Linked DNA regions of Arabidopsis thaliana. The protein of the gene in region 2 interacts with the protein of the main gene of each other region in a pairwise test. Each region holds a gene or a part of one and is shown on either strand. Other genes may lie near its edges.

The links.
Region 1: the proteins of BZIP27 (region 2) and TFL1 interact in a two-hybrid assay, tested with the Arabidopsis thaliana proteins (one study listed by BioGRID).

Annotation. Positions count from the first base shown.
Region 1 is NC_003076.8:1,023,897-1,027,605, forward strand, and holds TFL1 (PEBP (phosphatidylethanolamine-binding protein) family protein), read right to left. Parts: upstream 1,977-3,709; 5' UTR 1,901-1,976; coding exon 1,691-1,900; intron 1,481-1,690; coding exon 1,419-1,480; intron 1,213-1,418; coding exon 1,172-1,212; intron 1,085-1,171; coding exon 864-1,084; 3' UTR 604-863; downstream 1-603. UniProt on the Arabidopsis thaliana protein: Controls inflorescence meristem identity and is required for maintenance of an indeterminate inflorescence. Prevents the expression of 'APETALA1' and 'LEAFY'. Also plays a role in the regulation of the time of flowering in the long-day flowering pathway.
Region 2 is NC_003071.7:7,721,008-7,724,826, reverse strand, and holds BZIP27 (basic region/leucine zipper motif 27), read right to left. Parts: upstream 2,003-3,819; 5' UTR 1,842-2,002; coding exon 1,254-1,841; 3' UTR 1,180-1,253; coding exon of another isoform or gene 1,102-1,179; intron 948-1,101; coding exon of another isoform or gene 876-947; 3' UTR 536-875; downstream 1-535. UniProt on the Arabidopsis thaliana protein: Transcription factor required for the transition to flowering promoted by FT.

The DNA.
Region 1 (3,709 bases), on a different chromosome or scaffold from region 2:
AATATGAAAATATTGTAAGCATTTTAATGATTAAGACTTGTTATTTAATGGTTATTCGGTTGAATATAGATATTTTTTCTTAAAACTCTTGACAAAAAACTATATCTCATACCTCATATATACATATAATAAATATTTTATTGAAGACTGACTTTTCTATCTAATATGTTTCGAATTATATAGTTTGTAGGCAGAGACATTTTTTGTTTACCGCGGACATGTCTACGCTAGTGAGGGATTTATACCCAATAAATCTATATTTTTGACGTTGAATTTTGGAATGTAATAAATATATATATAGAGAAAGGGTCCCTATAGAGAAATATACATATGCCTATTAGATTTTTTTTTGAAAATAAAAGGTGGTTGTTTGTCACAATACCAGCCGTGAAAATAGATATGAATATGATCGCCGAGTAAGAAGAGGAGAGGATCATATTTTAGATGGTCATCAAGGTCTTGTCACTTTGACCAGAACTAAAAAAAGTTTTCATCGTTTAACTATCCTTTTCCGTATCTCCACGTTTATCATATAATAAGGTTCACTACATGTGATGTGACCTATCAAGCCATGTATGAGGATTTAATGATTTATATACTACAGCAACTTAGATTTTATTAATTAATCAAGAGTTTACTATTTTTGTAGTATTACAATGCTAAACATGATATGCAATTAATCTAGTTTTTATTCTGATAATCGACAGATCGTTATCAATACTTCTGTAAACTCAATTGATATTTCGGATTCAACTCATCTTTGGCAGTTTTTATTCAGAGTACGGAAATTCAGAACACAAATAAACATGAGATTACATGCAAATTTTCTTCTTTCATTTTTGCAGTTTATGACAATCATGAAACTAGCGTTTGCGTGCAGCGGTTTCTCTTTGTGCGTTAAAGAAGACGGCCGCGACAGGGAGACCAAGATCATACTCGACCGCAAATTTACGAGTGTTGAAGTGATCTCTCGAAGGGATATTAGGAAAGATAACACGTCTTTGCTTCTGCCTGAACAGAACAAACACAAACCTATGTATCCCTATGCTTGGCCTTGGCAATTCATAGCTCACCACCTCTTTGCCTATATTACAATGCAAATATTTTTATTTCTATATAACATGATATATGTATAAGTATTTAAATTACAAGATTCATGAAGAGGCCTTACCAAACGTAGCATCTGTTGTGCCGGGAATGTTTGTAACGATCCTATTGAAACATTCAACAATACTAATATTATTACTTTACAGAAAAAGTTCTGAGAACTCATGGCGATGGAGATCTTTGACCAACTCAAATGTATATAACTTACACCCAAAAAAAACTTTATTAGGGTTATAACGAAATGATTTAAATGCAATGTATATGGAATATGGGCCCAAAATGAAAAGAAAGAATAAATAAATTAAACGTACCAGTGCAGGTGTTCTTTTAGAAAGGGGTCACTAGGACCTGGAACATCTGGGTCTATCATCACCTGTTTTGCATTTCGGTTGAGTTTTACCATTAAAAAAAAAAGACTGGAAAAAGGAATGATAAAAACTAAAGCTACAATTTATAAGATTATTGAGTTAGAAATGGAAAACTTGTAAGAGGAAAAGGAAGTGAGACGTTTTATATGGTTTTTTTTGGCACAATATAAATAAAACCAACATTATTATAAAATAATTTAAATATATGTATTTACCAAAGTGAAGAAGGATCTGAGATCACCACCATGGATCTCAACCCTAGGCTTGGAGGAAACAGAAGAAGGAAAGAGCTCATGGCCATTGGAGACTTGCTTCTTGTTATAACTAACATTCATCTTAGTTGTTGGAGTGAAGAAATCAAGAACATCTCCTACCACTCTCCCCATTATCAATGGCTCTATCACTCTAGTTCCCATATTCTCCATTTTCTTTTGTTAACTTAGAGGAAAAGAGAGATTTGTAGTGATTTGGGAGACAAAGAGACGACCGAGACATCTATTTATAGGGGTTTTCCGTCTTAGAGAGAGAGAGAAAGATAAAAGAATCAATAGACATTAATTCCCAATTATGTGTACTAACCTCTTTCTCTTTTTTTTTTCTTTTTCTTTTTCTTTTTGTTTGCTTTCTCAAACATGTACACCAACTATATTAAAGTAAATTTGGGGGGTTTTAATAAGTAACTTATTTTAGGTGATTTAAAACTATAATTATATTTAATTGAATTAAGAAATATCACTTTTTTGGTATTCACTATATAATTACGTTTGACTTCTTCAGCAACATTGACTGCTTCAGCAACATTGGCATATCATGCATGGTTTCAAGTTTCAACCCCTATCTATGACCAAGACTTTATATAAATACCATATCGATCGCTAGATTTCGTTAATATATAGAATATCTTTTGTGTCACGAAGAACAAAACCCACTAACGTCTAAATTTCGACAAAATTCCTAGCTATATATACCTCGGCGAATAAAAAGCTATTTTTAAGTCTCACTGGTCGATGAATTCAAAAAGAATTTCAGTAGAACATATAATTGGCCAAGATTAAGATATTTGTCATAAAAACACTCTCATCGTACTTTGATTCTATTACAACTCCGGATACAATTATTGCTCAGAGTAGGCCTGGGCAAAAAAACCGCTAACCGATTAACCGAACCGAATCGAACCGAAAAACATGGTTCGGTTCAGGTTTGGATAGCTTAAAATAACCGGTTGAATATTATATGTCTTAGATTTCGGTTTCGGTTTCGGTTAGGTTAATAACCGATAACCAAATGAAAACCAAAGCATATATGTATGATAGATAATATATCACAGTATGTATTGACACTTAACTATGTTTTTCTCTTTATTAGTTTGCAAGTTGAATTTCGTGAGTTGTGAATCAGGTGTTTTAATATTATGGAGAGTATGGACCATCTTTGTGAGTTGTGAATATTTCTCTTTTTTACGTACGTTCTATATCGGTTATTGGTCAAATTTTTTGGTTGTTTCGGTTTTTAGTCGGTTATTTCGGTTTTAGTTTATTTATGGTTACCAAGTTTAATATCCAAACCGAACCGAACCGAAAGATATCCGAACCGAACCGAACCAAAATTCCTCAAATATCCAAATGGTTCTTATATTACTATAACCGAAATAACCGAAACCATGCGCAACCGAACCGAAACTGAATGCCCAGGCCTAGCTCAGAGGCTATTTGAAAGAAACATATCGCAGATTTGGGACTCCTTGCTCGTGGAACGACAACGCATTGTCGCATTGATTCTTAAAAAAACTTCTTTTTATCGAATCAATAAAACCAACGTGAAGAACCGATTCTTCAAATTGGGATTCTATATATGATTATTAGTTACAAAACCTTAAAACTTCCGAAGATTTTACGAATGCATATTTCAACCATAATACTCTATTAATCTGAAATACCAAAAGTGTTATACAAATCAGAAAATCCGTAGACTAATATAAACACACCCAAAGGTTTTGTCCTATTGAATATAATGATTATTAACTTATTATGGATTCTCCACTAAATAATAATTTATTTATTTTCTTATATTAGAAAGTCTTGATTGATGCTTTATTAAGATTTGGTAATTAATCAGAATAAAGGCACAAAGCAAAATATATCAAACTTATATAAAGTTGTCTACAACAAATTCTCCAAACAAGACAACCCTTTAACAATTTAGAAAAAAAAAAAAAGATAAATCGAATTTTCAAA
Region 2 (3,819 bases):
GCTTTTGGTATTTTGAAGATTTTATTTTCGTCAAATAGAGGATCAAGATTAGCTGATTCTTTCCCATTTTTTATGTGCTGCCTGCTAAATAAAGTTAAGAAATTTACACTGAATAACATGTCATCTCTATCATATTGTTGTTAATTATTCCTTTAGATTGGTTCCAAATGTTTGAGGAAGAAGGTGGATGCATCAGAAGAACAAATATTATTGGATCAGAATGAAGCAAGCATTTGTAGCATCTTTAAAGTTGCTACAAGAAGGAAGTCAGCAAATTCATTGCCCAACTTTTATTTATACATTAGATGTTACCAAATTTGCTCTTAGGTGTTTATTTTGTTTCTCTGTTGTTTCTGGTTACTAATAAAGCCAACTTTATAATGTGAGCATATTCATGGCCCAACTTTTATTAAAACATTAGATGCTACCAAATTTGCTCTTAGGTATTTATTCTGTTTCTCTGTTGTTTCTGGTTGCTAATAAAGCATACACAAAAAGAAGTCAACCAAGAAAAAATCTTCTTAGCATCATTATGAAGACTTATATCATCTGACAATACAGTGCAGTAATGGCTTAACCAGTGAAAACAGAAACTCATGTACTAGCTAGATAAGGACTTGACTTGGCATTACAATAATAGAGGTTAAGTAGAGAAGAAAAAAAGTACAAAAGTCAAAAGAGTTGATAGGAAACCAGAGAAGAAGAAGAAAGTTAGTTGCTTTCTTTTTCTAGACACTTTTCTTCTACACACACTTTTCTTTTACATTACTTACCACCACAAATTTAACTTAGCTAAAATGTACAAACTTTTTCTGTTTTTCTCATCTTCATAAGAAACACTTGAAACTCCCCCAAAAAGAAATAGTAGATTTTTCTCAAAATGGAGCTGTGGAAGACCGTTGTAGTGTTTTCTTTACTTGGTTTTGAGTTGCTTCGGCTATTTTCAGCTGTATTTTCCAAAAAACAGAAAAATAAAAATATTGGCCTTAAGTAGCAGAATCTTACATTCACAAGAAAAAGTTACTGCAAGAAGTAATGCACAAGTTTCTCAAGACAAAATTAGACTAAGGCATTAAAGCAAGAAGTCAGTGTTAGTTTTACCTGCTCTTGTTGTATCTTGAGTCTTGCATTCTCTGTCTGCAAGTGAGCAATTTCAAGCTCAAGTTCGTTTGTATATGCCTGAAAGATCCATGGACCAATTTTAGTACAGAGGAATTGTTGATTTAATACGAGATTCTGTTGATTTAGAGGAATTAGAAAGTAGAAGAGTGAGGAGAGACACATTCCTGCTTCCTAGCCCTTGAACGAGCAGCAGATTCTCTGTTCTTGATCATACGCTTATACCTTCTGTCTCCTCTAGTATCATCAGAATCTTGGCCTCTTTTCTTACCAAGACAACCAAACTTTGCAGATTCCTCAAAGGAGCGAGGGTTAGAAGCAAGAAGATTTTCTGTGGTATCAAGAAACTCGAATCCAACACCGGAGTTTAAGCTGAGGACAGTGGCAGGAGGCGGAAGAGGCAGAGAGCCATAGAGAGCAGTGACAATGGTGGAAGAGGAAGGTGGTGGTGGTGGTGGTGGTGGTTGATTCAGAGGCATGTTGAGGAAATCTTGAAAGATGGAGTTATTAGGGTTTTGGTTCTTTAACATTGGTTCATGACCAATGTTTAGTTGCCGATGGTAGTGAAGTGAACCAAGGTTGATTTCTTTCCATACTTCTTCCATGGTGACTTGAGATTTGTTATGGCCTAGGGAGGATGATGTTGATAATGATGATGATGAAGAGGAAATTGAAAAGGCACTATGGTTGTTGATCTTATTATGCTTTGCTGATGACAACATTGGAGAACAGAACAGAATAGCATAGAATGCTTTGTTTTTTGGTTTTGGGATGTCAAATGTCTTATAGCTTTGAGACAGAGAGAGAAAGATTGTGAACTTCTTGTCTCTCAATGGTCATTTCTAGTATCATGATGGTTGGGTCCAGTAGTAGAAGAAACAGAGATGTAATTGTTCTAGAAAGAAAAAAAACAAAATCAAAATATGTTAATGTAATGACTTTTTGTCACTTAATCCAAAATTTGATAGTGATAAATCTATAGTTATGACTTATGTGACGTCAAACTTTTTCTCCTAAGATAATCATTTTTATGTTACAGAAGGAATTATTTACCAATTAGCATGAATGCATGATACTTAAATCTGGAGTTGGTGGGTAAAGAGATTCTTTGTTTTGAAAAGGTAACCAATAAGCTATGGTTTTGGTCTCACTTTAATATCACAACAATTCAATAGACCCTTTAAATCGCTTTCAAGTGTGTGTGATCTTTGCTTTAATTTTTACCAACTTTTCTGTTTGTTTTTACCTTTTTGTAATTATATATTTTCAACTTTTCTAATAGTTTTGCTTACATAATATATCTCTAATCTATCTTCAAATCCGATCAAATAGATTAATGCACTACAACCACTTAAACACGTATATAAAAAACTAGATCCATGACTTATGAGCACCATATCATATCATAATTTGAGTTTGACCTCATTTCGAGTTAAATATGGTTTTGAAAAGAAGAAAGAAGTGTATATTTGTATTATGTCATTACAATAATGTCACAACATGTGATTATGAATATGAAAGATATAACTGTATATATTTATCTATTTTATACATTAATATTGGTAGTGGTAATGGAAAGCAACTTATTGGTTGAGTAAAAGATAACTGAGCCTGATGTGATTGATTTTTCAAAGTTCCCAGAATGGAGAGGCTTATAATGCCAAAGGACAATTGAAAAAAAGAAAATAAAACAGGGTCATGAAATTTTATATATTTTACAAATAATCACATTTCCTCATCATCATATTCTTTTTCTGATTAATTTATTTTATGTTTTAGATCATTGAGAAAACTATTCAATTGTGACTAACAGATATGTTATATGTTCCTCATTTCATAAATGATGTTTTTATCTAAACAATTTCGCATTTTCACCATATCTTAGCATAAAAAAAAATATTTTCTTTCTAAATCACTTTCACTTAGACCATTTCCAATGGTTACCTCTATATTTTTCTATATTTTAAAAATGATTATATTTAGAGGCATTGTGCTCCAATGGTCACTTCTAAAATAGAGTTTTTTAAAAAATAAAGGAAAAATAGAGATAAATTGTAGACATTTCTATTTATAGAGATACAATGTAGATATTTCTATTTTTCTTTTATTTTAGAGGTAACTATTGTTGGAATTAAAGCTTAGTTATTTTATAAAAGACCCAATGAGAAACATACCCAACAACCATTAGAGCACAATGTTTCTAAAATAAAGTCACCTCTGTAAATAGAGAAAAATATAAAGATCACTATTGGAAATACCCTTAACCAATCGAAGTTGTTTTATATTTTAGGTTCATTAAAAAATTCGGCGAGCCGAAGTATACACTTTTTGAGAGAATTAGTTGGATAGTAAGGGTATGGATCACCACCCGAAAAAAAAAAATCATTTTCTATATAGCTTTGATACCACTAATAATACCCCAGCCAAATCAAACATGAATTTGTTTCTGAACCCAAAAAGAAGTACCCGTTCTGATTCGGTAGAAGAAAAATAAAATCGAATACGAAACCATGAAAATCTCTTAATCGAAATTAATAAGTAATAACCCACCTTTTTGTCCAAAAAAAAAAAAAAGTAATAACCCACCCATGTTATGTTTGTCTACGGACCAAAAAAAAAAGTTATGTTTGTCTACGAGTCCAAAGACAATGAGATTGACGTGGCAAGCTCCCATGGATAGAACAAGTGTCAGGTCTGTGT